Linked DNA regions of Danio rerio. The main gene of each other region encodes a partner of the protein of the gene in region 5 in a complex. Links are inferred from orthologs where the notes say so. Each region holds a gene or a part of one and is shown on either strand. Other genes may lie near its edges. The genes, in order: pdrg1, asdurf, dnaaf10, ruvbl1, uxt, pfdn6 and uri1.

Region 1 (4,607 bases), on a different chromosome or scaffold from region 5:
TATATATATATATATATATATATATATATATATATAGTCACACTTTACTATAAGGTTTATTAGTTAATGTTAATTAATGCATTTACTAACATAAACAAACAATACATTTACTACTGTATTTGTTCATGTTAGTTAACGTTAGTTAATGAAAATACAGTAGTTCATTGTTAGTTCATGTTAACTCATGGTGCATTAACTAATGTTAACAAGCATGGATTTGAATGTTAATAATGCATTAGTAAATGTTCAATAATGATTAATAAATGCTGTACATGTGTTGTTCATGATTAGTTCATGTTAGTAAATGCATTAACTAATGAACCTTATTGTAAAGTGTAGCCATAAATTTAAATATCTATGTAACAAAATAGTTTTGTAGTTTTGTTTACATGTATGCAAGTATCATAAATATATAATAAATATAAATATAATACACACACGGGCGAAGCAGTGGCGCAGTAGGTAGTGCTGTCGCCTCACAGCAAGAAGGTCGCTGGGCCGAACCTCGGCTCAGCTGGCGTTTCTGTGTGGAGTTTGCATGTTCTCCCTGCGTTCGCGTGGGTTTCCTCTGGGCGCTCCGGTTTCCCCCACAGTCCAAACACATGCGGTACAGGTGAATTGGGTAGGCTAAATTCTCCGCAGTGTATGATTGTGTGTGTGAATGTGTGTGGATGTTTCCCAGAGATGGAAGGGCATCCGCTGCGTAAAAACTTGCTGGGTAAGTTGTCGGTTCATTCCACTGTGGCGACCATGGAATAATAAAGAGACTAAGCCGACAAGAAAATGAATGAATGAATATTACACACAAACATCACAAATAAACTTTTATTTTGGATGTGGTTAATCTTTGTCCAGCACTAATATAAATGCTTTTTAAGTACATAAAAATACTAAGACGCAGACTAAATAACACGTCTTGTCTTCGGCACAGATGTTTACACCATTTATAAGTATGACTGAGCAAGAGACTGATGAAGCAGCTCTACCTTGTAGCTCATTGAGACGGTTCACTTTCGCTTTCAGTCGTGTGCGGAGGTCTGTTATTTCCTTATCAAGCTGCTCTTGGTCTGTCAGGAACAGTAGAACAGCTCATTTATTAAACACAGTGGCACATGTGAAGGGTTATTCACACAAAAGCACAGCTGAAAAAGACACACTCACCTTTCAGGATCATTGATCTGGTGCTTTCTTGAGGGAATTTGATGAACATATTTCCAAAACACACCTTTACATTATCTAGATTAGATCGGATTCAATTTTATTGTCATGTGCAGAGACAAACTTCAAATGAGAACCAGCATTAGGCAAACAAAATAAGATTACAGAGCAAATGGCATCATCTATTAGTTTTGCTCTTTGTAGAAGAAATCTGTGTTTATTTTGTTCTGAACATCTTCTTATGTAAAATACAATATGTGTTTATTGAGGTAAAGTTTGTTTTATACACACACATTCATTCATTTCAACAGTGTCAGCTTGTGACTCCCTCTCTATAATGTTTATTATGCTACTTTGAATATTTGGTCAGAAATGGCATGTAAATATGACTTCAAAACAACATCCGCTCTATTGAGCTGACTGTGAACAATACTGGACTGTGATAGTCATTGGCTGCTAATATGATTTCACTATTTATAATTAACAGTTTTCTGAATTTATATTAGGGCGACATGATGGCTCAGTGGTTAGCACTGTGGCCTGACAGCAAGAAGGTCTCTGGTTTGAGTCCCAGCTGGGTCAGTTGGTGTTTCTATGTGGAGTTTGCATGTTCTCCCTGTGTTGACTTGGGTTTCCTCCCTGGTGCTCCGGTTTCCCCCACAGTCCAGACACATGCGCTATAGGGGAACTGATCAACTACACTGGCCATAGTGTATGAGTGTGTGAATGAGTATGTATGGGTGTTTCCCAGTGATGGATTGCAGCTAGAAGGGTATCCGCTGTGTAAAGCATGTGCTGGAATAGTTGGAAAACTTAGTTCATTCCACTGTGGCGACCCCTAATGACTAAAGGGACTGAGCCCAAATGTGCCAAAAAAAAAAAAACTTTGTAAATATAAAAAAGTTGTGTGTTTTCAGTGGTTGGAGTCATGATAACTTACTTTTCTTTGTTTGAATATCCCTAATATTACATATATAATACAATCATATTAAATATTAGTAAATTATTAGATTTTGGATACCCATAGGATGATTTTTTAAACCCATATTCACAAAAAAAGGTGCAAAAATTCAAGCCATAAAAACTAAAATGACAACATAGTGAACTGAACTGATAAATCATGAGTAAAACAAGTTAATTAAACATTCTAGGGTAAATTACAAAAAATAAACCTGTAGTAAACATACCGGGGTGTTACATTAGGTGTGGTTATAAGCTTAATAACCCTATTACTGACACATTATAAATGAAATATTTATTACTTTGGAAGATACGTGTACTTATATATGTGCTTTATACGTAGTACAAGTTTTATACGCATGACACTGCATCCAACACCAAGCATATGTGCCATTAATGCATTATAAACCAGTATTCTGTAGTCTGTACTCGCCGTTTGGTGAGTTGTTTCTTAACGCGCTGAGAGCTTCTCGGTTTCTGTTTCTCCGCACATCCAGATCCACAATCTGTCACATGTCAACCACTTCAATAAACACCACATATAAAACAGAAATTACCCGATAATTGACTGCTCCTATAACTCAATCGCACCTGTTGTTTGTCGGTGAGTATGTCTTCTGCAGCAACCTCTACCTCAGTCAGATGCTCCAGTACCCGCTGCGCGCTTTCGTCCATGCTGAACTGTGCGTGTGTTATGCGCTAGACGAAATAAGTCCGACTGAGAGTGGAAACAAGTTGTGCTGTATTTTCGTTCCGGCTCACAGCGACCATCAGCTCCGACTTCAGATGTGAGATCCACAACGAGGAAAACAAACCTGATATTCGTAAAGTAAAGTAAAAAACTCTTCAGGAAAAAAAATGACTCAAAAACGCAGCAATAAGAAAACTGCTAAAACGTAACAGGAAATGCTAACTAAATAAATGTTCAACTATGGTTCAGTTTTATAAATAATTATTAATAATTATTGTCAAAACTGTCTGTATAGATGGACGTTTGCTGCTGACAAAATAAATTAAATTAAAATTAATTAAAATTAAAAAATAACATTAATAAACCGGTGAGGCGGTGGCGCAGTAGGTAGCACTGTCGCCTTACAGCAAGAAGGTCTCTGGTTCGAGCCTCGGCTGGGTCAGTTGGTGTTTCTGTGTGGAGTTTGCACGTTCTCCCCGGGTTGGTGTGGGTTCCCTCTGGGTGCTCCGGTTTCCCCCACAGTCCAAACACATGCGCTTATAGGGGAATTGGGTAGGCTAAATTGTCCGTAGTGTATGTGTGGGAATGAGTGTGTATGGGTGTTTCCCAGAGATGGGTTGCAGCTGGAAGGGCATCTTCTGTGAAAAACATATGCTGGATAAGTTGGCAGTTCATTCCGCTGTGGTGACCCCTGATTAATAAAGGGACTAAGCTGAAAAAGAAAATGAATGAATGAATGTTAATGAACCTATTAATAATCTGCATGTGTTGTGCTCAGCAGTAACTGGCAGCAGATAGTGTTTGTAAGAAAATAATCTTTTGTTTAAAATATCTGGACATACTCTGGATGTGGCTCTTGCATGTTCGAGTAACTCCTCCCATGTCAAGAGGATTGCAAAGAGCTTAAAACTGTATTTATGATCATCACAATCACCGTATGAGTCAGGCAGAGAATGAGGAAAATAACAAGTTACACACAATGTGAGATGATGGCTGCTTCTCAGTGGGATGGAGGAGCCGGGGCTAATCATGAGCAGACTCAACACTTCAAATCTTCATTTCTGAATAAATACATCACAGTATATTTATCTTCATTCACAATACAAATATAAATAAATGCATAATATTATTGTTATCGCAATATTAGTATTTGCAATATACATTCTTTTTCATTGATTGTTTATCTAAATTAGATCAATCAGATGGGGCCATAATATCTTTAGTCGCGCCTCCCCAGTAGTGGCTGTTCTGTTATTGGCTGGAGTGTCCTGAACCCAGAGCTGAAAATAAACACTTATGGGTGGAGTCCAGAAAGGAGAATGACAACAGCCAATCAGAGTCAGAATATCTGCATATCAGGTTTTCACTCATTCGTAGTGTTTTAAAGACTAAATGTTTGCAGCTCGACACGTTGCTGTTGTTGTTTTAGTTTGAATTAGAATTAATTAGATCTGAAAAATAACATTTTTGCCTGTACATTTTAAAATCATTAAATCAATAAATGATTTAGAAACAGCAAATAAAATAGCGTTTTTACATGGAAATAATATGTGATTGGAAATATCGTTATGGTAACACTCAACAACAATATCCCATAGTTTTGCAGTGTCATGCAGCCAGTGTAAACTCTATGGACCCTTTTCACAAGACTCTAATGAAGCGTTTAATGAGGTGTCATCAGCATCTTAAATCCCTGAAAGTTTTCAATATTTAGATAAAAAAAACAACATATGAACGTTAATATGTATTTATGTATGTTTTCTCATTTTTTTATTTTATTTTTAAGAATTGGAACTTG
Region 2 (4,466 bases), on a different chromosome or scaffold from region 5:
GAAGTCCTTTAAAGATGGTAGAGCAGGGGTGTCCACACTCAATCCCGGAGGGCCGCTTTCCTGCAGACTTTAGCTCCAACTCTAATCAAGCTCTTACTAGATATACTAGAAACTTCCCAGCAGGTGTGTTGGAGCTAAACTTAGCAGGACACTGGCCCTCCAGGACCAAGGTTGGACACCCCTGTGGTAGGGTCAGGACAGTCCTAAAGGGCTTACGCATATTGGGGGCCCCTAGAGATATGATTCGGGGTTCATGCACAACCCCCCACCCCTCTCTTCGCTTCACTTTAGAGCATTATTCCTATGTACAAAATTTAGGAGGGATACAGTGGCTCATTGGTTAGCACTGTTGCCTCACAGCAAGAAGGTCGCTGGTTCGAGTCTTGACTGGGTCAGTTGGCATTTTTGTGTGAAGTTTGCATGTTCTCCCATGTTGGTGTGGGTTTCCTTCTGGTGCTCCGGTTTCCCCCACAGTCCAAAGTCATGAAGTATAGGTGAAATAAATAAACTAAAATGTCTGTAGTGTATAAGTGTGAATGAGCGTGTATGGATGTTTCCCAGTACTGGGTTACAGCTGGAAGGGCACACGCTGTGTAAAACATATGCTGGATAGGTTAGTAGTTCATTCCGCTGTGGCGACCCCTGATGAATAAAGGAACTAAACTGAAAAGAAAATGAATGAATGAATGTCAAACTTGTTTTCTAAGGACCAGTGCAATTTGTTTTTACTTGCCCCATTACAATTCAAACACTTATTTATAAACAAAATAAGTTTATTTTAAGAAAGATAATTGAACCAAATTGGTAAAGAGTTTTAGAATATACAATTTAGTTAATTGTTTTTTTAGAATAATTGTTATTTGTACCGATTAAATAGCTTTACATGGACAAAAAAATTAACACCTGTTTAAAATTATTTAAGACCTGTAACACCCTTTTAAGTAAAGTTTTAAAAGGCCTAAAATGTTGTTTTTGAAATGTAAGACTTTTAAAGTCCCTGCGGACACCCTGAACAATTTTTCCATTAAGATGAGCATTATTTGTTCATCTTGAAAGTTAAATGCAAACAATCCTCTTTAGGATAGCTCTCAAATTACTGAGGATAAACCAAAATATTTGGATAAGATAATGTACGCCTAGAGCTATGATAGGCTTTGTTTATTACCATCTTATCGTACATTAGAAGAATGGCAAAATATGATATAAGATAATATGATAATATCAGGTTTAGATAGATGGGCTAGCCGCTGTTTCGCGATGAAAAGTCGTTAATATCCGGGTAAAAACTCTATTTGAAAGCATTCGACGTATTTGAACCGTATTTGACCACATTACTTAGATTCCCTGTTTCATTCAACAACGCGTCTTTGTTTAGATGCTGCAGATTTATCCACCCAACATTATTCTTTAACAGGCTTTGTTTATGGGGGATAATGGGGTTAGGATTACGTGACGCACTTTTAAAGCGTCGTTGGCGCATACGTCATTCTTGTGCGACGAACGAGTTACTTGCTCGTGGAGATGTTTCCCTAAAAATGATCTGAAGCGTATTAATAAACAATGTCCTCCAAGAACATACAGCGAACTGAGCCTGGGGCCTCAGAAGAGCGCGCACAAAAAGAGGAGCTGAACCAAAAGGTTGTCTATCATATATGTTTTTTGTAATTTATAGTATACAGTTGACACCAGTAAAACGCGTTAAGCATGTTTAGTAATTTCTGTTTTTTGATGATCCTAAAAACATAACTATTCATTCGCAGATAAAAGAGCAAAAGATTGTTGTGGACGAGTTAAGTAACTTGAAGAAAAACAGGGTATGTAACGTCATATCGTCTTGTCACTTTCTATATATTATCAAGAGTCATTCTGCATTTGGTGTAGCAGATGCTTTCACTTAATTATAGATGTAACAAAGTCAAACCACATCGCTATAGAAGGCAATATATACTAAAATGTTTTCTAGTGTAGCATACAATATAATATATGAACTTATGCTCCACTATACTAATTCGCAATAGATTATAAGTAGACTGTCAGGTGGGGTTGGTGTAAATTGACATGTACTTGCAAAGTTTCTTAGTCAGTGAAATGTTGAAAGCAGCAGTATCAGCAGATATTAAGCAGACAGTCTACTAATACCCAAATGAGAAGTAACTGGCATTTAGTTGCAGTACAACTTTAGTCAGAAAAATGTGCAACAGGGACCATCAAAATAAAGTCTTACCATGATATTAATTACATTCACATTTAAAAATATCAACTAAGAAGTTCCTTCGATGTTTAGAGATATTTTTCCAGTTAAATTTATGAAAGATAAAACGTAATTGTGAAACAGTTTATTTGACATCAATTAAAAGCAAAGTAGAATTTAAGCTTGACAAAATTATCAACTTATAAAGTACCTTAAATGTATCATCTGTTGCCATTTTCTAACCCATGGGGATTCAAATTGGATAATTCCTTTGAACTATTGAATTTATTATTTTAAGATAATTTACCTCAAAGTCAGTGTTCTTCTTATGGCAGACTTGTAAATGAAGCAAATAGGACTGAGTTTCATTTCTGGCCCATTTTTGTGGAGATTTTCTAGAGTACTTCTATAGCCAGTCCATGTGTATAGTGAAGTATCTTATAGTTATGCGTAGGTTTTTAAAATAGCTCTTATGTGCAGAGTTGTGTTTGTATTTATGATTAATTTATGTAGCACCGTTGTCCTGGGAGACTGCACATTTAGTTTCTCTGTATGTTCACACTAGGCATGGGCCGGTATAAATTTCTGACGGTATGATAACCTTGTATAAAAATACCACGGTATCACAGTATTGTGAAAGTGATTACTGCTCTCTCTTTTTTAAAATGTATGGGTAAAATAGAACAAACATTTATAATTTCCCCACTGAACACAAATTATTTATTTTAAGGAACATAATATTTTGGAACAGTAAACATGTCAGGCTAAATAGTTAAAATAAATCTTTGACTTCTGCTCTATTCGTTAGTTTGAAAAACGTAGATTTCTATACAACACATAAAAATATATAAAAAAACTTTTACATATAACTTGGGAACGGTATAACAGAACAATTTACTGGGATTAAAACCTTGAATTTTCCAAACCGCGGTAAACCTTGAAACCGGTTACCGTCCCATGCCGAGATCACACATGTAGTGGAATGACAATAAAGCTCAACTTGACTTGATATCATCACATTCCAGTAATACTAAGATTATATTCACAGAGAGTGTACACCCAGCAACCCAACAGCAATATATTCTTTCTGGCAGACAAAGGAGAAACCCTTAGCTCTTGTAAACGTAAGTGTTTCTGTTATACTTGAGTTGTTTCTGCTTTTTTGATAGATGATACATAAATACAATACTAATGCCACCATTTTGAGTGTGTTCTTCTAACATTGTCATAATATTCTGTTATACAGAGGACCTGGATAACATGCGGAAAGAATATCAAGATATATAGTGAAGTGATATCATGTGTGGGATCTGCTGTGTGGTCAGTTTGACCACACCACATGATCCACTGGAGGAGAATGTGCTTCAAAATCTCAAACACAGAGGACCCAATTGTAGCAAAGACATTACAAAAGAAATCTCAAACTGCAGTGTCCTATTCTCTGCACATGTACTTCATATGAGGGGTTGCCTGACCCCTCAACCTCTTCAAGATGACACTGGGAATATGCTTCTCTGGAATGGAGAGGTGTTTGGTGGTCTGAAATTAGAGCAGGAAGAAAATGACACCAAAGTTCTTCTTCATCAACTGTCAATGGCCACCAGTGCCTCAGATATTGTATGTTTGTTATCACAACTCGAAGGACCGTGGGCCTTTATCTATTACCAAAAGTCTGAGCGCTGCATCTGGTTCGGGAGGGACTTTTTCGGGAGAAGAAGTCTGCTTTGGAAATTCAATCCTGAAAGAGCTTTTTTCACACTCGTATCAGTTGCTTCCCAGCCAGCAGATGATAGTCAATCCCAATGGCAGGAGGTACCACCTGGTGGAGTTTACAGGTTTGACCTAACAGACACTTCACTAGATGGTACATTTATTTTTGAACTTTATCCATGGATTTTCCACAGTGACGACAAGCCAATTGAAAGCCCGGAATTGAAATGTGAAGGTCTTCCCAAATGTGTTTCTTTAAACACAAATAGTTCTGGACTTTACCTGACCTCCCCTGTTTGTCCGATGAACACATCCATTTCATCACTTACAACTGAACAAAATCATAACGCCTCTCAAACCTCTGTTGAAAATCTGAAAGCATTCTTAACAAACACTGACAAGAAAGCAGTGGTTAGTGCACTGATTGATGTTCTAAGCGAGGCCGTTCGTAAGAGAGTGCAGTACTTACATGCTCGGGATGCACTGGAGGTTTCCTTAAATCAAACAAAAGCTGACATCGCCATTCTTTTCTCTGGAGGAATTGATTCAATGATACTAGCTGCCC
Region 3 (4,672 bases), on a different chromosome or scaffold from region 5:
TTTGTTTCTCTGCAGCTTCTTCAAACAAATCAATACGATCTTTATTTCTTCATGGAATTGTGTCAGTTTCAAATGTGACTTTTTATTGGAATTCTTTCGTTTCTGATGTTGATTGCTGAAAAATATGGCTCATCCCAAATAGCTACTTAATTACATGTTAGATAAGTTTCATTTTGAATTATACATCGTACATACCCAGTAAATACTCTTAGTAAGATATAAGATATTGATGCTAATTGTTTATTTTGTAAGCAACACCCTGAGTCTCGTTCGCTTATGTTGGCAATGCAGATACTCTAATTTCCTTTGGAAAAGCTTTCTCTCTTTTTGTAATTGAGAATGTTGATGCAGACTTTTCTTTACTATGGGAAAATGTTTTGTTTGGCTTTATCAGTTAAAAAACCGAAGCTTGACATATTTTTTTTTCTTAACCTTCTTATCTTACTAACAAAACCTTATATACATACATGTAAATTTTCCAACCAAAAACCTGTTTTCATATATTTTGCTTACTGAATTGCAGTAATACTATGAAACTATTTCTTACTCACAGTCTTTAAAAACAACTGAAATTTGTCAGTTATATAATCGTTTTCTTTAATGTGTGATTTATATACCCCTTTTGTTATATATATACCCCTTATATATACCCTTTTTGCTGTTATTTTTCTAATTAGGGGCCAAGCACCGTAGGTGCGTAGGCACCTATTGGATCCGTTAGCGTTCCTATTATTATTATTCTTCTTGTTTGTTTGTTTGTTTGCTTTATTTATAGAGCACATTTAAAAACAACAGATGTTGACCAAAGTGCTTTACAAAACGACCAGCATACAAAATCTATACCTATATATAAAAAATTTGCAAAATATATAAAACAGATTAAAATTAATTACAATCAAAGGCAAGAGACAGAAGGTGATTTTTTAGATGAGACTTAAAAGCACCAAGTGAAGAACATGACCGGATCTGTAAAGGCAGACCCTTCCATAGTCGGGGGGCTGCAGCAATAAAACCCTTTCACCTCTTGATTTCAACCGCGTTTTGGGGACAACTAGCTGAAACGTGTTTTCGGACCTGATTGGCCTCAATGAAGTGTGCCAGTGAAGAAGCTCAGAAATGTAAGTCGGTGCCAGACCATTCAAACTTTTAAAAACTAGAAGCAATAATTTATATTGAATTCTAAATTGGACTGGGAGCCAGTGAAGAGACAATAAAACTGGTGAGATACTAGAGGATTTTTTTGTCCCAGTTAAAAGCCTAGCAGCTGCATTTTGAACCAGCTGCAGGCGTGCTATTGATGCCTGTGAAACTCCAGAATACAAAGAGTTACAGTAGTCCAGTCTTGACATAATAAAAACATTAATGACAGTTTCCAGCTCTTTAAAAGAAAGAAAAGGCTTCAATTTGGCAATGTTCCCTAATTGATAGAAACCACTTTTGACAACTGAGTTTATTTGCTTGTCAAACTTTAACTCAGTGTCAAAAGTAACTCCAAGATTTTTTACGTGACTGTGGACCTTAGGCTTGATCGAACCTAATTTATTAATTGTAGATTCACAGACACTCGGAGGACCAAACACTAGTACTTCAGTTTTTGATTCATTCAAGTGTAAGAATTCTTCTTCCATTTCTTCCACCGGATATGAATGGCAGCCCATATAGGCGTATGCGGGAAAGTTGTATAATTTGGCACAATGATAGAGGACAGTCTTAACATTAATCAGACCAAATGTGAAGTCTCAAAATCAAACTCTCTAGCGCCACCACTTGTCCAAACTTTCACGTATGTTTATCATAATAACTTTTGAACCGAATGGGCTACAATCAAAATTCCGCTGACTCCTTGGCTCAGTCCGATTCAAACGCACCCTATGACATCATTTTCCGTCATGAATTTTTTCGCGCTATTTTAAATTTTTCGAAAAACCTATTTGATCGAACTCGTCCTAGGCCGTTTCTGCGATTTTCACCAAAATTGAATCACATGATCTACAGACCATGCCAACCAAGAGTTATGGAATTGAAGTTGATTAGACCAACTGTTTTCGCTTAACTTGCGATCAAATTTAACGTAGAACTTGCGAAAATGGACTTGAGACGATATCTCTGTAACGCATTCACCGATTCACACCAAACTTGGTGTGTGTTATGACAACTAGGGTCCGAGGTTATATGCTGAGTTTTGGCACATTGCCCCCTAGTGGTCCGGAGATACAAAAAACTTGATTTTTGGCTTATAACGTCTCAACCTTTCGTCCGAAACTGATAAAACTTGTCTCATTACATCCGGCAGAGCATGTCGAGTCGAATGATGTCTGATTTTCACAGGTCAGCCATTTTGGGCGTCGCCCATTTCGATTTTTGGCCAAAAACACTATATTTTACCAACATATTCACATATCATTACAAAACATGGTATTCATCTTCAACCCCATGCCCTAAAAGTACTCAAAAATTAAATATATATATATATATATATATATATATTATATATATATATATATATATATATATATATATATATATATATATATATATATATATATATAAAATTAAATATAATTTTAAAAAAGTGTTTCCGCAGACTGTTTTTATTAAGTCTGATTACATCAAACACAATTAATTCATCTTTACCATTAGAGGCTGGAGATATTCACAAACTGCTGACACACAACTGGGGTTAAACCCCTTATAAAAGGGATTTTTGCATAATAGATCATGAATAAATCTCTATTTTTAACTGATCCCTGACTAGTCTTATAGTCATGATTCACATGTGTATTGTGGATGAATATGAACTATGACGGTGAAGTAAACGTTAATAAACGCGTTGTAAACAGAGACTGAGGCAGTTGAGTTTTGTCGCCATGGCAACCGCGCCTCAGGACTTTTCTAGAAAGCGCCGAACTGGCTTAGCTAATAAACAGCAAAGCTTTTCAGCAGTTTGATTTGTGCTTCAGTGAATATATACTATGAAGAGACCTGACCTCTCTGACCAGCTGCAGCTCCCCGTGCTGGATCTCGTAGATCTGCATCACTCCGGTTCCTCTCGCGAAGTTTCCCATACAAACAAACTTGGCGCTGCACGGAATCCATTTGCTCTCGAACACCGTGTAGTTCAAGCTCTTCTGGATGTGCGCGATGATCTGCGGCTTCTCGAGAGCTGCTGACATGATCTGTGCTCAATATGAAACTAAAATCTATCAGTTTGAGCAGAAGGAAAGAGATGTCAGTTGCGCTGTTTGCTTCTTCTTTGTTTCAATGGCTGTTGACAACCCTCTTAAAAGCTATACTTCCGCCACCTGGTGGATTGGTGTGGGTTTTTGCTAAAAGGGATACAGCTGCGGTCGAGAATTATTTATATTATTTAACTACACATCTATTGTATTTTATTAACATCAACCCCAACCCTAAACCCAATTCTGACAGTATTATTTATTAAATAACCTATTAATTGTATGTTATTACCATATTTCCATCTACCCCTACCTCAACAATAAACCCAAACCTCACAGTAATGCAAAAACAGCAATTAAACAGAGTATTAGTCATATTATTTCATAAATTAACCATTAATTTTATTGTATTAACGTCTATCTCTACCCCAAACCTAAACCCAACCATAACAGTAATGTAAAAACAGGTATACACAGTATTAGTCATATTATTTATTTAATTACCCATTCATTGTAATTTATCAATGTCTACCCCCACCCCAGTAATGGAAAAAGTAATAATACAAAGTATTATTCATATTTTTTATAACATTACCTATTAAATTGAATTTTTATTAACATTTACCCCTTTTATCACAGTAATGTGAAAATATTAATTATTGTTGTAGTGTTACACAAATTATGTCATATTGATGTACCTGCAACTGCATCCCTTCTAGACTTCACTGTTTTTTTTACTGGATACTAGTAATATATAACAGAATAAAATGTATTTTACACACACACACACACACATATATATATATAATCTTTATAGTTCATTCTCCTTAAATTCCATTTATTATACCTATTGCATTTCACTGATTTATAATCGCAAAATACACTTCATATTGTTCTGGGGCATTTCTTAACATATTCTTAATTGTTATATTCTCAATTTTCAATAGACTGAACTTTGTTGCTCTTATACCGAGTGCTTTTGTTATTGTTTTTTAATTCACCCCAATTTATTGCTTAACATATTCTTAAATTAAAGGGACTAAGCCAACAAGAAAATGAATGAATGAATATTCTTAAATTCTCATTTGTTTTAAACTTAATTCTCCATAAGTTTCACTCATTTAGTATTCATAATTTCTAATAATATGTTTCTCTATCTGCACTGCTCCACATTTATTAACATTTCCTGATTCACGTTTTACAATAATGAATGTCTGGTAGGTGCTGTCTGTGTTTATCTATCTATCTATCATGTTTGTCTGTCTATCCATCCATCCGTCCGTCTATATCTGTCTGTCTATCCGTCCATCCTATCTATCTATCTATCTATCTATCTATCTATCTATCTATCTATCTATCTATCTATCTATCTATCTATCTATCTATCTATCTATCTATCTATCTATCTATCTGTCTGTCTGTCTGTCTGTCTGTCTGTCTGTCTGTCTGTCTGTCTGTCTGTCTGTCTGTCTGTCTGTCTGTCTGTCCGTCCAATA
Region 4 (4,390 bases), on a different chromosome or scaffold from region 5:
TGTTAGTTTGGGAAGAGGGTGAGATTTTTTTCCCTGACAATGTCTGTTCTGTCTTTAGAGTGATTAACATGGCATCTTCAAACGCTGCACACACACCACCTATTGATCAAAAGTGGTACTGCTGCACAGATTATAAAGTGCCCTGACAGGTTACTATTCTGTTGGTTAGTTAATTAAAAACAAGTCAGTACGTAAGTCAGTAACTTCTAGTGCTTTGTGTACGTAGAAGGCGTGAAGTCACACGTCAAAGTGAATTTTATTAGTGTAATTGTTGCTTTACTGAAAAAAATACACCCACTTACCCCCGATGATAGTGCGTATAAGGGAGGCATGTCCTGGACAGTCCACCAATGTGAACTGCAGACTGTCGTATTGTTTTTCCCCGCAGGACTCCCTCAGGTGCTCCGGTAACGGCACCGTGAACGCACTGAAGCCGAGATCCAGCGTTATGCCCCGCTCTTTGGACTGCGGGTTCTTGTCGAAGGCTGCAGTGGATGCGGTGCTGCTCAGCGCCCGGGCGAGAGATGTTTTCCCGCTGTCCACATGGCCGAGGACACCGACGTTAAAGTTCAGTGTTTTGGGAAAATCTGTCATCTCTGGATCAACACCGCGGTTGGGTAACAGAGAGTGAATGCGCAGACTTTGAACTGCTGACAGCGACGCTGCTGGTCAAAACAACCAGCTTGATGTCGTCAGACAACCAACTTACTGTAATTTGATGAATTTTGATAATATCAACTTATTAACTTTGATATCAGAAATAAAAGTGTAAACTAAATTCCTCGGCTCTTACTTCATTCAGCAAAGTTTTCAGAAATTTGACAGTTGCTCTTCCTGCGCTGCCAAAAAACAATCCCTGAGCTGGCAGCATCTCACATCACTGGTTCCGCCTCACGGCATTTTGTTTGAGAAAAGAAACATTCCTCATGAACAAAGTTGTTTATAAATTAGTTTAAAAGTAAAAATAATCTACACCTTGGAAATATTATGTTATCTACACTTCTGAGAGAAACTATTTATGGGAACCCACAGCGTAGATCCTTGTTCCAACACAACATTTCAAATGTAACACACACGAAGAATAGGGGCGGGTTTACAGTGATCAGACCGACAGTTGCAGTGTCCAATGGTCATGCAGAGTTTCCACAAGTTGACCAATCGTTACAAAGAACCACTGAAAAACGTTTTGCGGACGGTACTTCCTCAAATCGCCTTGGTTACCCTCATGGAAACGCGGGTCTCTTGTGTTTGATTTTAACGGCCTCTCGTGAGACAGGCGTGTGGTTGTTTTATTCACGCACAGCGCGTTCGATTAATTATTAAGAAACATGAAGATCGAAGAAGTAAAAAGCACAACCAAGACGCAGCGCATCGCTTCTCATAGCCATGTGAAGGGCCTCGGTCTGGATGAGGCTGGTAATGCTAAACAGTCCGCGTCCGGGCTAGTGGGACAAGAAAGCGCCAGAGAGGTAACACTAGCTAAAGACCAATTTCCGTGTTTATTTCATTAATTAAGAAAAGCAAACATTTTAATTTGATAACCTCGAATGATTTGTATGTAGCTGGCTATATGTGAAGAATAAATACAAAACTTCTAATTCATTTGCTTGTGTCAAGAGCTGGATACAATTGATTGTAAATACGATAAATTCATATACTTTCATAGGCTATATATGAAGAGTTCAGATGCAAAAACCTCTAAGTACCGTCTGAAACTTCCATTAAAGCTGAGCATTTTTATCTCAGCATTCTATATTGATTATTGATGAGTTATTTCTCTTTAAAGATCATTAAATTAACATACTTTTTAATTATTCTTTAATTTGTAATTACTGAACCTACTAACAGGAGCCTGATAAAAATGTTTATTTTAGAAGAACATTTCAGACGGCTTTTAGAAGTTTTTGCATCTGAACTCTTCATATATATATATATATATATATATATATGGAATATTTTAATCACACTTTTTAAACAAAATAATGTTTTCATGTATGTGACATTTTCTGGCCTGTAGTTTAGCCCTGGGCTTTAAAAAAAAAAACTGATCCTGTTACATAAACATCTAGAAAATTCTTGCATATTTGTTAGGCTTGTGGCATCATCACTGAGCTGATTCGTTCCAAAAAGATGGCTGGCAGAGCCATTTTGCTAGCCGGACCGCCTGGAACAGGCAAGGTAAGGGTAGACTGGTTTTATTTACACTGCACTGTATAATTAAAATGGACATTAAAATAGTTTCAGAGCTGTTGTTTAAGATAGTATGTATAGTCTGCCCATTTGATTTCTATCCACCACAGACTGCTCTAGCACTGGCCATGGCACAGGAGTTGGGAAATAAAGTGCCATTCTGTCCTATGGTGGGCAGCGAAGTTTATTCATCAGAAATCAAGAAGACCGAAGTGCTGATGGAGAACTTCAGAAGAGCCATAGGTGAGCTCTCACACCACCATAACCTGTCAAAAAAGGATAGAGGAAAAGTTTTTTTATATATTCGCACATTCAGACTTTCTGCTTAATAATATAATTTCATAAAAGTATTCTTTGCAAATTTTAAATAGTGAAATCATATTAGCAGTCAATGACTATCAAAGTACAGCGTTGTTCAATCAATTACATAGTGCTAATATTGTTTTGAAGTCATCCTTGCATGCTATTTTAGACGCAATATTCAACTTGCCGTGGTAAACAAATATGGGCCATTAATGAAACAAATGTGCAAATCTCAAACATACTTTATCTAAATCAAAAAAGGCTGTTGGCCGTTATCTTGCGTAATGAGTGATTCCTACCATCATTAAATCAATTCAATCAAAACTGCTGATTCAATTAAAAATGAAGCAAGTGACTGTCTTTAATATAAAATCGAGTCTTTGGCTCATTCGATTTGTTTAAAAATAGATTAGTTCTGGAACAATGCATACCATCGTTGCTCTGAAATGTGTAAAATGTTTTGGTATGACCGTTCAGAACTGATTATGTTGACAATTGAAAATAACACAGTATTTTTGTTTTGAAATGTAAACTTACTGTTTTTTGAGCTGTTGATATTTTTGCTTTTTTACTTGAAGTAAAGGGTTTATAGTCCTAGGCTTAACCGCAGTGTTTAGACTGAATATGTATTTGTTTTTATAATGAGCAACATGCATTAATGTCAGCTAGCGTGTCATTAAACAGCAGGACTAAGTGAATATCATTTTATTTTAGATGATATAACACACCCCTACAATAAAGAAGCCATGTAAAATCTGTATTTTCCTTTATGTATTCCTATAGATTTGAGCATGACCTTGTACTGTTCTTCTAGTTGGTTCACAACCCTCAACTCTGAAACCCTCAAGTATGACTCTGAAACAATGTAGACTATGTGATCAAATGAGATATGCATGAATGCACACATTATTACTACGCTGACAGAGATATATGGCATGAACCATTGAAAATACACTTCTGGCTTTTTATTACGTAATGAAATATGTGGTTTTTGTAAAAGTGTATTGGCCAGTAAAACCGAAAAACTATTAAAAGTGTTTATATCAATCTAGTATCTAAAGTTCTGTTTTGTTTTTTGATCGAACAGGTCTGCGTATCAAGGAGACTAAAGAAGTGTATGAAGGAGAGGTCACTGAACTGACTCCTTGTGAGACTGAGAACCCAATGGGAGGCTATGGTAAAACTATCAGTCATGTCATTATTGGTTTGAAGACAGCTAAGGGGACCAAACAGTTGAAGGTAAGGAAGTGCAGGCATGTTGTTATGTTTTTTTTCTGCATGCTTATATTTCGTAGATAAGCTGGATGGAAGCTGATTATGTGGTTGTTTGAAGTCATATCTCATCTCTCCTGCAGCTGGATCCCAGCATCTATGAAAGTCTGCAGAAGGAGAGAGTGGAGGTCGGTGATGTTATCTACATCGAGGCTAACAGTGGGGCAGTCAAGGTATGGACAGATATGCTTCGCTATTCTCTCTCCTGCGGTTCTATAGTTGGCATGTTGAAGTAATCTTTTGTCAGTACAGGTGGGCAGGTAGTCTGGCAGTGGAATAAAGGACGAGATTGTCTCTCGTATTTTTAAAAGAACGTAATACTTTTATTAAGCAAGAATGAATTAAGTGAATTCAAAGAAAAAGAGACTATAATAATGCTACAAAAGATTATATTTCAAATAAATGGAGTTTAAGTTCATTAAAAAAAATCCTAAAAAAAAAAAAAAAAAGATTAGAAGAAAAAATATTAAGCTATAAAATAAATATTTCTTGAGTGCCAAATCAGCATATAAGAATTAATTCTGAAAGTTCATGTGACACTGCGGTAATGATGCTGGAAATTCTCGCCATTACATGAGTAACATATTTTTGAAGGAAAATAAGTTTAAATAAATGCAATTTTAAA
Region 5 (4,447 bases):
AAGAGTTTAAGACCCCGCAGATACCCTGACCCTGACCTTCTTTGCTTTCAGGAACTTTGATGTAGAGGCTGAAGTATGAGAAGGAGCGCTATCCTGCTGAAAAATTTGCCCTCTCCTGTGGTTTGTAATGTAATCTGCAGCACAAATGTCTTGATACCTCAGGCTGTTGATGTTGCCATCCACTCTGCAGATCTCTTGCACGCCCCCGAACTGAATCTAACCCCAAAACATGATTTTTTCTTTACCAAACTTGACTGATTTCTGTGAGAATCTTGAGTCCATGCGGGTTCCAATAGGTCTTCTGCAGTACTTGTGATGCAGTTCAACAGATGACTCATCAAAAAAAAAAAATCTACCTTTTGCCACTTTTCCAAATGATCAACTAGTTGTCAAGTTATTATTTGTTGCTCTTACAACTGGGATTGACAACAAGACTTTTGTCGGGCAGTGTAGAACAAGAATCATTTGATGACATTGTACTGAAATATCAGTGCAGCCCCCAAAATTAATTGATTTGTTAATTAGTCAGGTTTTATAAAAATTCTGAACTTAGGATTTCTCATAGTTAATTACACATGTTTATTTATTCATATAAAGGGTACTTGGAATATTTCTACACTACTTACTCAGCAATCAGAACTGATTTTATTTTAATTCTGAACGTAACAGATTGATTGATGTTGTTTCTGAACTCCAGATAGTGATTATTGTTGTTTAATGTATCTGTTTATATCTAAACACCTGTATTTTTGATTCTCACCTGTCAGACACCTGCTGCAGATCCACTTTCTTCTCATTATGGATGAGTTTAGTGATGTAATGCCGCAAAACTCCGACGAAGAATGTGATGAAGACTATGGGCAAAACAACCCAAAGGCGAATACTGGAGTCTAGCAGCAGCTCTGGACCTGCCATTTCTATGCTGACTGAAATCGAACTATAAACACTGACACTTCTAAAGTTTTTTTAAATGAATATTCAATTCTGGAATTAATACTACGATGAAAAGTCAAACGGTGGTGTAACTACATAACTTTTAGACACATTTCTGTATGAACATGCGCCATTTGAGCAGCTGCCGTATGACCTTTGAACTAGTAGCGATTCAAACACGAGTCGTTTTGATGAGTCGGATCTTTGAAATGAATTGTTCGAATCGTCTTACACCGGTTTAGGTGGTTTGTGCACGAAATGAACACTCTGAACCGAGTCTATTTTGTACCGAGTCACTTTAAAACTTGACAGTTTTTATTCGCAGACATAGTAAATACAGATATTTTATGAAATTGGGTATATATAGCTCTAATAAAATCTTTGAAGCAATCAGGTATTTTAATTAACACGTTTTGAATGAGAAAGAATTTGTTGGAAGTTGCGTCAACGCTTTAAATTATATTGTATTTACAAATATATTTGTCTTATTGAGAGAATTGTTCTAATAGGTAAACATTAATTAAATAAAAACGAAACGTAGATGTTCATTATAGGAAAACTATAAAACAAAAGTTTAGCTAACGCCATTTCCGGTTTAGACCGAGGACGTTTCCGCGTATCTTGTAAACAAGTGTGGAGCCACGTGACAGACCGAAGGAAGGTTTAGCTTCATTTAACGTACTCGATACTTCATATATTTGCTACTACAATATATTAATCTGTCATATGTAAGCTTTAATCGCTGCATCAGCCCAGCGACGTGCTGTTAATGTTTGATGCACATTAATATTAGAAACATCGATTGCTATTAAATAAAACTTCGATCTGTTATCATCTCATATCATGACTTCTGGCACATCTGTTATTAATGACAAAGTCTTGCAGTATGAGACATTCATCAGTGAAGTATTAAGACGAGACCTGCAGTAAGTATCATTTAATATGGATATTTTGCACGTACACGAAGCTGCCATGGTATTAACGTTACCATGCTTGTACGTTAATTCCATACAAATACAGCTCTATGCTAATCTATATTGTTTAAGCTAATCTATTATGAAATGCTACTATGTGTTCTGGAAACATTATGTACGCTTGTCCAAAGTACTTGTTTAAATGAGCTGAATCAACACGATTCTTGAGTTTTTTTTAGCACAACTACATTTTTTTATTTCAGTTTACTTAAATTTGTAAAAACAATAAAGTTAACTTGATCGATTTGTGTTGGGACAAGATGAAGGAATTAATAACCCTGTGGAACCCAGTATAAGGAACACTATAGTACTTTATTGTAATTTTAATGGTGTTTTTAAACAATACTATAGTAAAGTGAATTGTACTATACACACACCAGCCACTTTATTAGGTACACCTTTCAAGTCCCGGGTCGAACCCACTTTTGCCATCAAAACTTTCTTAATCCTTCGTGGCATAGATTCAACAAGGTACTGGAAATACTCCTCGGAGATTTTGGTCAATATTGACATGATAGCATCACGCAGTTGCTGCAGATTTATCGGCTGCACATTCATGATGTGAACCACCAGTTCCACCACATCCCAAAGGTGCTCTATTGGATTGATGTCTGGTGACTGTGGAGGCCATTTGAGTACAGTGAACTTATTGTCATGTTCAAGAAACCAGTCTGAGATGATTTGCGCTTTATGACATGGTGCGTCCTGCTGGAAGTAGCCATCAGAAGATGGGTACACTGTGGTCATTAGGGGTTGACAGCAACAATACTCAGGTAGGCTGTGGTGTTAAATAAATTATCCCCCACACCATTACACCATCACCACCAGCCTGAACAGTTGATGCAAGGCAGGATGGATCCATGCTTTCATGTTGTTGATGCCAAATTCTGACCCTACCATCTGAATGTGGCAGCAGAAATCAAGACTCATCAGACCAGACAACGTTTTTCCAATCTTCTATTGTCCAATTTTGGTGAGCCTGTGTGAATTGTAGCCTCAGTTTGCTTTTTTATCTGACAGCAGTGGCACCAAAGAGTGGTCTTTTACTGCTGAAGCCCATCCGCCTCAAGGTTTGATGTGTTGTGCATTCAGAGATGCTCTTCTGCATACCTCGGTTGTGACGAGTGGTTATTTGAGTTACTGTTGCCTTTCTATCAGCTTGAATCAGTCTGGCCATTCTCCTCTGACCTCTGGCATCAACAAAGCATTTGCACCCACAGAACTTTTTTTTCCCTTTGCACTATTCTCTGTAAACCCTAGAGATGGTTGTGCGTGAAAATTCCATTAGATCAGCAGTTTCTGAAATACTCAGACCAGCCCGTCTGACACCAACAACCATGCCACATTCAAAGCCTCTTAAATCACCTTTCTTCTCCATTCTGATGTTCGGTTTGAGCTGCAGCAGATCCTCTTGACCATGTCTGCATGCCTAAATGCATTGAATTGCTGTCATGTGATTGGCTGAAACTTTCGTTAACGAGCAGTTGGACAGGTGTACCTATTAAAGTGGCCGGTGAGTGTATGTATTATATTATTTAGTATATGTAAGTATATAATAAATATTGTGAACTGTTAAACTGTAATGGTGTGCTTCAGTATTTACTATAGTAAACCCTGTAGTTGTAGAAAACCACAGTATTAGTTGTTTGTTTATAATGCTATAGTTGTGTTAATAACTATAAAGTCACCACAAAATATTAATTCAAGTACTATACTATAATATGATTCAAAATACTATAGTATTTACAATAAATACATTAGTATTTTTTCATGTAAGTTCTTTTTGCTCCACCAGGAAAGTGGTGGAGCAAAAGAGATGCTGTGGATGAGAAAATACGGCAATACCTGCAGCTGAAGAACACAATATAATAAAATATAGTTCAAGAACACTATAGTATTTACCATAAATTACTATAGTATTTTTTCATTTGAGTACTCTCTGCTCTGCCAGGAAAGTGCTGGAGCAAAGAGATGCTGTGTATGAGAAAATCGCACAATACCTGCAGCTGAAGAACACAATACAAAGCATTCAGGTATGTGAGATTTGCATATGTATTTGCATATTTTGTGCTTATTCTTATGTCCTGACTTATTTGTTTTCAGATATAGTTTGTGCTGTGTAAAAAATTTTTACATTTACTATTACTGTCCATCTCAGTTGCTCTCATTCTGCCTTGTGCGCTTTTAATATGTGGCTGTGTTTGATTCACCTTCAGGAAAGCGGCAGCAAAGAACTGAAAACCGATGTTGACCTTGGCTGCAATTTCTATGTGCAGGCTCATGTGTAAGTGTTGTTTGCATGACGTCTGTGGTGCTGTGCGTCAGTGGAGATGTTGAACATTTTTTGAAAGGGCAATCTCATTTCTTTTTTTCCAGACCTGATGCATCAAGAATATATGTGGCAGTCGGATATGGATTCTTTGTCGAATTCACGCACGCAGAGGCTTTGAAGTTCATTGAAAAGAAGACAAATCAGCTCACAGAGTAAGAGGATTTTAGTAGTGCTGTCAAACGATCGAGATTATTTGCATCAAAATTAA
Region 6 (4,408 bases), on a different chromosome or scaffold from region 5:
GTTTACTAACATAGAACATCCCAAGTGTATCCAATCTCTAGCCGTGTTTATACTAGGTTCCTACTAGTATTCACAACAAATAAAATTAACCCCACCAGAAACATTGGTGTGTCGACACAAACTACTGTGTCGCTCCCACAAGTAACAAGCATAATCAAAACAACTGAGATTAAAGTGTCCAAAAAAAGTGATTTCTTCAACTAAAATTGCAGGTTCAGAGGACTAATCATCATACAAATGTTTTATATGAATTTTACAAAGTGACAACCTCTGTCATAACTCTAAAACCATGAACACATTTCATAATACACATTCAACTCACAGCAAAGATATCAGGTTCATTATAGAAAAAAGCAAAAATAGCCACACTCAAAATGACTGCCTGACAAAACAATAGAATTTATGAATTATTTATGTTTTATTCTATTATTTCATTCCTGCCCTTATGAAATTGAACCAAGGGAAGTGTGTGTGTGCGCGTGTTTTGACAGACATATTATTAGTGTAACTAACGTTACAGGTTTACCACAGATACTATGGTTAAATGGTGGTTAATGGTTGTTTGTTTGTTTGTCATCTTAGAAAATTTGATTTTTTTATTGAAAAAAATAAAAAAAGTTTTGAAGAATCACAAGAAGAAGAATAACGTTACTAGCAAATATCGATAAAGTTAAAACATCATGACATCTATTACGAAAATTAACCATGGTTTTACCACAAAAACTAACCATGGTAACCTCAAATCAACATGGTTTTGTTACACTAACCCCAGCTAAACTGTAGTACTTTCAGTAATACTGTGGTTATAAATAACAATCGATACGACAAAAAAAGTATGATTACACTTAACTCTTTAAACCATGGTTCATTCTCGTAATAGATGAATATAGCACATGATACTATTTTACCCTACATATGTTTAAAACGCTGCTTAAGGTGCAGATTTAGAACAGTCATTACATTTGCTTGTGTTATAGAAAAAATATATAACTGACTTTACCTGCTGTTGTGATTCTATGTGGTCGCGCACACCCGAAAAAAGACCTTCACGTTAGAATTTGAACCATGCGCGCTGCCATATTGCCTTGACTGTCACTACAGAGGGCTTGGAGGAAGAGGATAGACTGACACCACATGGACAGGAGAGGCACTACGCTTTTAGATACTGGAAAAATTGTACCCATCGTATTAATCCAAAAATCACATTAACTGATGCGTTAAATCTACATATGGTGCGTAAAATTATAGAGCAAATTATTTAAAGGTGTGTGAATAAACATAATACTGAAAAAAATTGTGTATGTTTTTCTTAAACACTAGATGGCGAAGTAACTCTTTTTATCAGCTATCGTAAAACCCCCATGTGACGCAATGATATGACGTCATTTCCCGTGCGCCTCAGACTGTGTGCTTGAGTAGTGTGCTGCTGACTGTCTGCATTTGTCATAAAATATCGTGATTTTTATTATTTAGCAATAATAATAAGTCAGACATTGGAATAGCAGGTGTGATGGCTGAAGCGATTCAGAAGAAATTGCAAGCTGAGTTGGAGAAATATCAACAACTCCAGAAAGGTAACTTACAGCACGAAAAGCTCAGAGTTAGCAATCCAACACTCCCTGCATGGGCATCTTTATATTGAGGCAAAGTTGGTTTTATATTCGCACATTCGTTCAGTGACAATGTGTGGCATGCTCCCTATATTGTTTACCATGGTACTTTGAATATTCGGTCTGAAATCACATGTAAATAAGACTACATTAACGTTATCACTATTTATTTGACTGAATAATGGTGTAATTTGATAGCCATCGTCTGCTAATATGGTTTCACTATTTAGGATTTGCTAACTACAGAATACTTTTCGGAATTTTTAATAGGAGAAAGTCTGAATGTGTAAATATAAAACCAACTTTACCTCATTGTGTAAATTGGCTTTCTCTCTAAAAATCTTATTAAAGTATTTTTGTCAATTCTAAATGGTAAAATCATATTAGCAGCCATTGACTATCAAAATCACCATGGTAAACAATGTAGGGATGTCACAAGTTTTCACTGAACGAATGTGCGAATATAAAACCAACTTTACCTCAATCATCTTTATGTTCGGCTCCTTTAATAATTTATATTTAACGTATTTGTAGTAATTTGTTGTATTCAGGTTTAATATCTATGTAGTGCAATGCACTGATAAAGTACAAATGTCACGGTTATGTTGTATTTGGACTTGATTTAGCTACCCAGAGCTATTTTAGACAAAATCCACATTCAATCTACAAATTCTCATTATTGAACGTTTTAAAAAGGCTTTTACTATTTTATTTTATTTTATGATTCATTGTGTAAGTTTCTTGGTATTTATAGTAACACCATTATGAATATTCATATAGCCAAGTTATACCAGTGTACACTTGCACATTTCCTGCAACATATCTTTGAATAAATAAAAAGTTTTAACTAAATTAGAATAAATATAATTAATTTGAGATTTTATAAATCATGATTGTTCAAAAAACATATACCAAATAATGCATATATATATGTATGTATGTATATATGTATGTATGTATGTGTGTGTATATATGTATGTGTGTGCTCCTTTAATAATTTATATTTAACGTATTTGTAGTAATTTGTTGTATTCAGGTTTAATATCTATGTAGTGCAATGCACTGATAAAGTACAAATGTCACGGTTATGTTGTATTTGGACTTGATTTAGCTACCCAGAGCTATTTTAGACAAAATCCACATTCAATCTACAAATTCTCATTATTGAACGTTTTAAAAAGGCTTTTACTATTTTATTTTATTTTATGATTCATTGTGTAAGTTTCTTGGTATTTATAGTAACACCATTATGAATATTCATATAGCCAAGTTATACCAGTGTACACTTGCACATTTCCTGCAACATATCTTTGAATAAATAAAAAGTTTTAACTAAATTAGAATAAATATAATTAATTTGAGATTTTATAAATCATGATTGTTCAAAAAACATATACCAAATAATGCATATATATATGTATGTATGTATATATGTATGTATGTATATATGTATGTATGTATGTGTGTGTGTATGTATATATATATATATATATATATATATATATATATATATATATATATATATATATATATATACATACATGCATGCATGCATGCATGCATGCATGCATACATACATACATACATATACATACATATACACACATTTCAAAACATGAATTCCCAGAGAAGCTACCAACCACAGAGTCATGGGAGCAGAAAAAATCAATCTGTAAATTTTTAAAAAATTAAATACATTTTAAATAAATAAATAAACATGTGTTATGGATGTGACGAAAAAAGTCTGCGAGTTTACAGTATACAACATACTTTGATGTTGATGTTGATGTTGTTTTTATTTAATTTAGTGATAATATATATATATATATATATATATATATATATATATATATATATATATATATATATATATATATATATTAAATATATATAAATAAAATAACATTAAATATAAACATTTCCCCGAGATGGGTTGCGGCTGGAAGGGCATCTGCTGCGTAAAAACTTGCTGGGTAAGTTGGCGGTTCATTCCGCTGTGGCGACCCTGGATGAATAAAGGGACTAAGCCCACAAGAAAATGAATGAAATAAAAACAATATCAACCTTTAAAACTTTCAGTAATGATAAATCATTCATCATTTTTTTCGGCTTAGTCCCTTTATTAATTTGGGGTTGCCATAGCGGAATGAACCGCTAACTTATCCAGCACGTTTTACACAGCGAATGCCCTTCTATCTGTAACCCATCACTAGTAAACTATACACAATCATTCACACACATACATTACAAACAATTTAGCTCACCCAGTTCACCTACTGACCCAGCCGAGGCTTGAATCAGCGACTTTCTTGCTGTGAGGCGACTGCGCTGCCCACTGCGCCACCATGCTGCCCAGTAATGATAATACTGTAGCTTATTATAAGCTTTAGATTTTAAATTAAAAATAGATTTTATTGATAATAGAAAATATGTAATTGCTTTGATTTTAATGTCTCATGATTGCTCAAATATTTTAAAATTAAAATATTTAATGAAAGGCAAAATTATAATATTACTACATATTATAAAACAGACCAGTGTATTGTACTTGTGTAAACTTTCACTTTAATGTGTTTGATTTCTTTTTAAAATAACAGACATATCATGTATTCATATTTTTCAGAAAACATTATCCAAAAAGTGTGAGATATAGTGTAAAAATGAAACATATTCTAATCTATCATGGTTTAGCTTTTAACATGAAGATATCTTTATATTGTATTAAAATATTAGAAGGGTATTTGTTGACATTTAATGGTTTGTGACACATGTAGTTATATTTCATAAAATGTTATAAA
Region 7 (4,432 bases), on a different chromosome or scaffold from region 5:
ATTATACTGCTATTTTGCAGTTGCATTGAATTTTGCCACAGTTTTCGTTGTATATAGGCTAATGCTGTTGTACTGATCAATTAACTGCACTTATTTTTGCAATTTAACTCTTAAAATTCTTAATAAAAAATTACTTGAATCCAAAAAAATACATCCCTAAAAAAGTACAAAATATTCTCGGAAGGTGTTGAAGAACAAATCCCTTGAATCATAAGTGTAGTACTTAACACGCCATTGGCATATTAGACATTGGCATACTGCACAAGTGCAGTAAAGACAGAGTTTACTTGTTTTGTTAACTGGAACTTAAACTGTAGTTAAACTTTATTGTACTGCATTTGAGCTGTGTTTATACTTCATTTTTATAGCAATTGTACTTAATTCATATGCAATTATACTTCTATTTACTGCTGTTGTACTGCAGTTTTACTTCAGTTTACTGCTCTCGTTTACTGCAGTTATTTTTGTAAGGGCAAACAACAACAACAATCCAGGGGTTTTCAGTCATCTAGTCCAAGATAAGTGCCAAATCCTGCAATAAAGTCCTTGTTCTTATTGCTTTTAAGTTTGTTGATCCCTCAATAGACTCAAAATACATTTTCATTTCAATTTTACATTAAGAAAGAAAATCCTAACCCTAAACAAAATACACTTACAAAATTTGTTTTTGTGAATATGAAATTTGCCCAACAAAAAAATCAGGTTATGAAATAAGTATTACTTTCCTTTTGACTTTTACAGAAACCAAAAAAAAAAAAAAATTCTTATAAGTAAATGCAAAATGTGCCAGCACATAATCTTTTATAAAATCAAGAATATCACATCAAAATGTCACTGAATGAGGCCAATTCCAAAATAAATGAACAGAAGTTTTAGGAATCTCTAAGCAAAATGGACAGTTGATGTTAATATTATTCATAAGCCTTTTTAGATCCAAATGGTTTGGATAGCATCTATTAATCAGTTTAAATGTAACTTCTCTTATTTTATTTATTTATTTATTTTAAATGTGGGGTAATGAGCAAACTTTCTTACATGAAATTGTACCAAAGAGCTTAGAATGATCATGAATGGTCATTCTAAGCTCCTTGAATTGTACAGAAGCCTTTTGTTTTTGTCGAATCATAAATTGTACGACTTCCTGTTTCGTAACGTCACGTGACGTTGGCGTGAGGATTGTTTACATCCTCTCATCATCAACCCATGTTTTCATTTAAACATATAAAGTGAACAGAACAAAAGCGCTTAGACAGTACCTACATTTACTGTTATCAAAATATGTATATATACACGTGTCCCAACAAGCGACCACTTTCGTTTGCCAATTTTAAAGAGTGGCGTTAATACTAAAAGTTGTTTATTTAATTTCATTTCAGCATGTAATCATTTAAGTCCACGAATAACTCAATAAATTTATTGCAGCTAAGCATTTAAAGTCGAAAATTATAAATGAAAGTGAAATTAAATAGCAAAAGTGGGAGATCACGTGCTTGCGTCGTAGAAGGAGAGCGATATCCAGAGCACGTACTACATCCGTGATTAGATGAACATGGCGCAGGGGAAGCAGGCCGTCGGTGGACTGTAAACAAGAGGAAATTTCGGGATTAGATTGACATCGTACCATGCACGTGTGAAATGGTCTCAATCTCGATATACTGGACGACTCGTTCTGCTTCATTGATGACTACGAGGCGACAAATTGAGTGCAACGCATCACATTGCATTCATAAACATTTCTATAGGACTTCAAACCCCTGAGCATTCATTGTTTTGGATATTTAATCACACAAAAACCTTGCTTGATTGTGGATGCACGAGCAAATGGCTGCAGTTGGGAAAGTCAAACGGAGTACGAGAGATTTGCCTCGAGGCGTGGAGAGGTTGAAAGATGAGCACAGGAAGGTCAGGAGTAATGTTTATTTCCATAACAACAATGCATTCCTGCAGATATTATTGTTGATGTTCATAAACGTGATTTGTCATCAGCGTTTGAAAGATTTGTCGTCGATTTTAATGTCGTTTATTTTGTATATTTGCAGCGTTGCCCGTTTCATTCTCTGGAAAGTTCTCTCTGTATCACGTGTTGCCGTTGGTTTTCTTTTTGCAGTTACTGCATTTTTGTTTGCATGTGTTTTTAATACTTTGCTGTAAAATCCACGTGTATGTGTTTACATGAAGCTTATCTTGATGTTAGTAGAAAACTTTACATGTGACGTTAACTCCAATTTAATCAACCACATGGCACATGCCCACGTTGCCTTAATGTATAGAGCAAGTAAAAGCTTAAAGTACTTTTAGAGTAGGCAATGAAATGGAAACGACTCCCTGTGAAGGTAAGGTTTAATTGACCCATTTCTATGTGCATGGAGTGAAAAGAATAGGTGAATGTCATACACACAATGTCTTTGACCCCATTTGTTCACAGTTGAAGATAAACACCCAGTTGGCTGGATTTGAAAATTACGTTTGACCTGCTTTCTTTACAGCAAAGATGTGTTTTAAAAAAAAACTGTTTTAGAATCCCTGAGCAACAAAATAATAATTATAGCTTTGTCTATTACATTTATTATTATGGCCACATTTAGCTTAAGACACCCATAAAAAATATTTTACCATAACAGAAGTTTATACCAAGTAGAATATACTGTATATTGGCAGGTATATTTAGAACATGTATCATTTGATGACATTAAAATACTCCTAGTCCTAAGCATTACAGTGCAACCCCAAAACACAAAGTATTTGTAACTTTTAATCCATATTCTCTGCCAGTATCATTCTATCATTCATTTACTACTTTGTCATAAATTTAGTTTCTTTATATTACAAAAGTTTGTTTTATAATTGTGTGTGTCTAATATATATATATATATATATATATATATATATATATATATATATATATATATATATATATATATATAATCTCGTCACCTTAGAATTATAAAGTTCTATTTGACATTACCTAGTATTCGGAATGCTTTTATGGCCATTTAAAATGTCAAAAGTTACCTAAAAGCGAACCGTACCTCTTTTTTGGTACCCTTTGGCCTTAGTGTCCCACCAGTGACGATATACAGCCATATCACACTGCCACGAGTTCAACAGTTCAGTGGCATAAGACTACCGGAGTCTCTCAAAAACACTTTTGTATGAGGAACTACCTTCTTCTGGCAATTATTCACATCTGCACCTGACATCAGAACAGCAGAAACCTGTGCTAATTCACTAACGTCACTTTAGAGCTAGTATTTAAAGGATTCTCTAGCGTAATGTCTAAAGTGATGACAAAACAGGTCATTTTGCTCACATTTTAAGATTATAAGGATGAACGGCATGAAATGCCATCAATGTTTAGAGATTTCCCAGTATTTCTCTGTTGCGATTGGGGGATCACAATAATTAACCCCGAAAAAACCAAAGCAACGCAAATGCAACCAGATTACTATGGTATAAATACAGCACTACAACATACAAAAGAGAAACATCAACTTAGTGACACTTATTTATAATGATTTGATCAGCTGTAATTTGATTTTTTTTATTTTTATTTTTGCTGAATTTTTCCTCCCCTAAGCACTTATCGAGGTTTTTGTCGCCATTCTGTAGCAAAACGTCAACCGTCTATGCTTTGCTCAGTGACAGGCTAACGGTCTCTCAGAAATTATAAATATTCTAAAATTGCCACTATCCTTATAAATAAACTGCAAAGTTGCAATCTAAACAACTACATTCTCACCTCAAAAGTACATTATGTTGTCCAAAACCCTTATATTTGTCAATCTGTAGTAAGTTTTTTCATCTGCTGTCACTCTATGTGGGCGGAATAATACAGAAGAGTATGAAGGCTGTACAAGTGCTGATATAGCAGAATATCGTACAGCCAAACAAAACGTGTGTGTTTGTGTGTTTATTTAAATTTTTTTGACATCATCTTGTCATTTACCTGTAGAATCTGTAAAGATCTTGCATATTCCACACCAGTATTTACATTGGAAGTTATAATTAACCTACTATCATCACATTATTTTAGTAGTTTAGCACATAATTAACCTTGAAACTGTCATTGTTTTGCCAGTCACTCTGAAATAACCTCATTCCTTTTATGGAAATTGAAAAAAAAACATTCAATAGCAAAAAAAAAAAAAAATGTAACATTTACTCTGATTTTATTGAGAAATGACATGAATGGGAATAATATGTAAAGGCTTGTCCCACTTTTCACAAGGAACTTTCAGGACTGTCATTCTCTGTGATGGCCAATTCACGCTACTAAAACATTACTGATAATTTAGCAGTGGTTGTTAATTGTTGTCTGTGGTATTTTTAATATTTCAGTAGTTATGAAATGATGCATTGTCTGTGTTTCCACAACAGGTGGTAAAAGATTGCAGAAGTCAAATTGAGCACTGGTGAGTGTCCTCGTGTAGTT

The links.
Region 1: uxt (region 5) and pdrg1 share a complex: the UniProt entries of both Homo sapiens proteins name them as parts of the PAQosome complex. The link is inferred for Danio rerio from reciprocal best matches to the Homo sapiens genes UXT and PDRG1.
Region 2: uxt (region 5) and asdurf share a complex: the UniProt entries of both Homo sapiens proteins name them as parts of the PAQosome complex. The link is inferred for Danio rerio from reciprocal best matches to the Homo sapiens genes UXT and ASDURF.
Region 3: uxt (region 5) and dnaaf10 share a complex: the UniProt entries of both Homo sapiens proteins name them as parts of the PAQosome complex. The link is inferred for Danio rerio from reciprocal best matches to the Homo sapiens genes UXT and DNAAF10.
Region 4: uxt (region 5) and ruvbl1 share a complex: the UniProt entries of both Homo sapiens proteins name them as parts of the PAQosome complex. The link is inferred for Danio rerio from reciprocal best matches to the Homo sapiens genes UXT and RUVBL1.
Region 6: uxt (region 5) and pfdn6 share a complex: the UniProt entries of both Homo sapiens proteins name them as parts of the PAQosome complex. The link is inferred for Danio rerio from reciprocal best matches to the Homo sapiens genes UXT and PFDN6.
Region 7: uxt (region 5) and uri1 share a complex: the UniProt entries of both Homo sapiens proteins name them as parts of the PAQosome complex. The link is inferred for Danio rerio from reciprocal best matches to the Homo sapiens genes UXT and URI1.

The regions. Positions count from the first base shown.
Region 1 is NC_133186.1:391,879-396,485, reverse strand, and holds the start of pdrg1 (p53 and DNA damage-regulated protein 1), read right to left. Parts: upstream 2,829-4,607; 5' UTR 2,794-2,828; coding exon 2,710-2,793; intron 2,625-2,709; coding exon 2,552-2,624; intron 1,237-2,551; coding exon 1,162-1,236; intron 1,068-1,161; coding exon 987-1,067; intron 1-986. UniProt on the Homo sapiens protein: May play a role in chaperone-mediated protein folding.
Region 2 is NC_133184.1:42,816,180-42,820,645, reverse strand, and holds asdurf (ASNSD1 upstream open reading frame protein), read left to right. Parts: upstream 1-1,485; 5' UTR 1,486-1,560; coding exon 1,561-1,638; intron 1,639-1,760; coding exon 1,761-1,814; intron 1,815-3,239; coding exon 3,240-3,315; intron 3,316-3,437; coding exon 3,438-3,478; 3' UTR 3,479-3,490; downstream 3,491-4,466. Other genes in the region: asnsd1 (asparagine synthetase domain-containing protein 1), read left to right, coding at 3,491-4,466.
Region 3 is NC_133188.1:1,036,471-1,041,142, reverse strand, and holds the start of dnaaf10 (dynein axonemal assembly factor 10), read right to left. Parts: upstream 3,196-4,672; 5' UTR 3,174-3,195; coding exon 2,988-3,173; intron 1-2,987. UniProt on the Homo sapiens protein: Key assembly factor specifically required for the stability of axonemal dynein heavy chains in cytoplasm.
Region 4 is NC_133181.1:43,388,327-43,392,716, forward strand, and holds the start of ruvbl1 (ruvB-like 1), read left to right. Parts: upstream 1-1,181; 5' UTR 1,182-1,328; coding exon 1,329-1,469; intron 1,470-2,091; coding exon 2,092-2,178; intron 2,179-2,300; coding exon 2,301-2,433; intron 2,434-3,580; coding exon 3,581-3,732; intron 3,733-3,848; coding exon 3,849-3,938; intron 3,939-4,390. Other genes in the region: eefsec (selenocysteine-specific elongation factor), read right to left, coding at 303-594. UniProt on the Homo sapiens protein: Possesses single-stranded DNA-stimulated ATPase and ATP-dependent DNA helicase (3' to 5') activity; hexamerization is thought to be critical for ATP hydrolysis and adjacent subunits in the ring-like structure contribute to the ATPase activity.
Region 5 is NC_133183.1:10,252,783-10,257,229, forward strand, and holds the start of uxt (protein UXT), read left to right. Parts: upstream 1-1,558; 5' UTR 1,559-1,776; coding exon 1,777-1,859; intron 1,860-3,858; coding exon 3,859-3,940; intron 3,941-4,123; coding exon 4,124-4,191; intron 4,192-4,283; coding exon 4,284-4,391; intron 4,392-4,447. Other genes in the region: zgc:86609 (ER membrane protein complex subunit 3-like), read right to left, coding at 761-915. UniProt on the Homo sapiens protein: Involved in gene transcription regulation. Acts in concert with the corepressor URI1 to regulate androgen receptor AR-mediated transcription. Together with URI1, associates with chromatin to the NKX3-1 promoter region.
Region 6 is NC_133189.1:35,060,122-35,064,529, reverse strand, and holds the start of pfdn6 (prefoldin subunit 6), read left to right. Parts: upstream 1-1,474; 5' UTR 1,475-1,510; coding exon 1,511-1,574; intron 1,575-4,408. UniProt on the Homo sapiens protein: Binds specifically to cytosolic chaperonin (c-CPN) and transfers target proteins to it. Binds to nascent polypeptide chain and promotes folding in an environment in which there are many competing pathways for nonnative proteins.
Region 7 is NC_133193.1:16,045,181-16,049,612, forward strand, and holds the start of uri1 (unconventional prefoldin RPB5 interactor 1), read left to right. Parts: upstream 1-1,534; 5' UTR 1,535-1,821; coding exon 1,822-1,902; exon of another isoform or gene 1,903-2,306; coding exon of another isoform or gene 2,307-2,333; intron 2,334-4,377; coding exon 4,378-4,412; intron 4,413-4,432. UniProt on the Homo sapiens protein: Involved in gene transcription regulation. Acts as a transcriptional repressor in concert with the corepressor UXT to regulate androgen receptor (AR) transcription.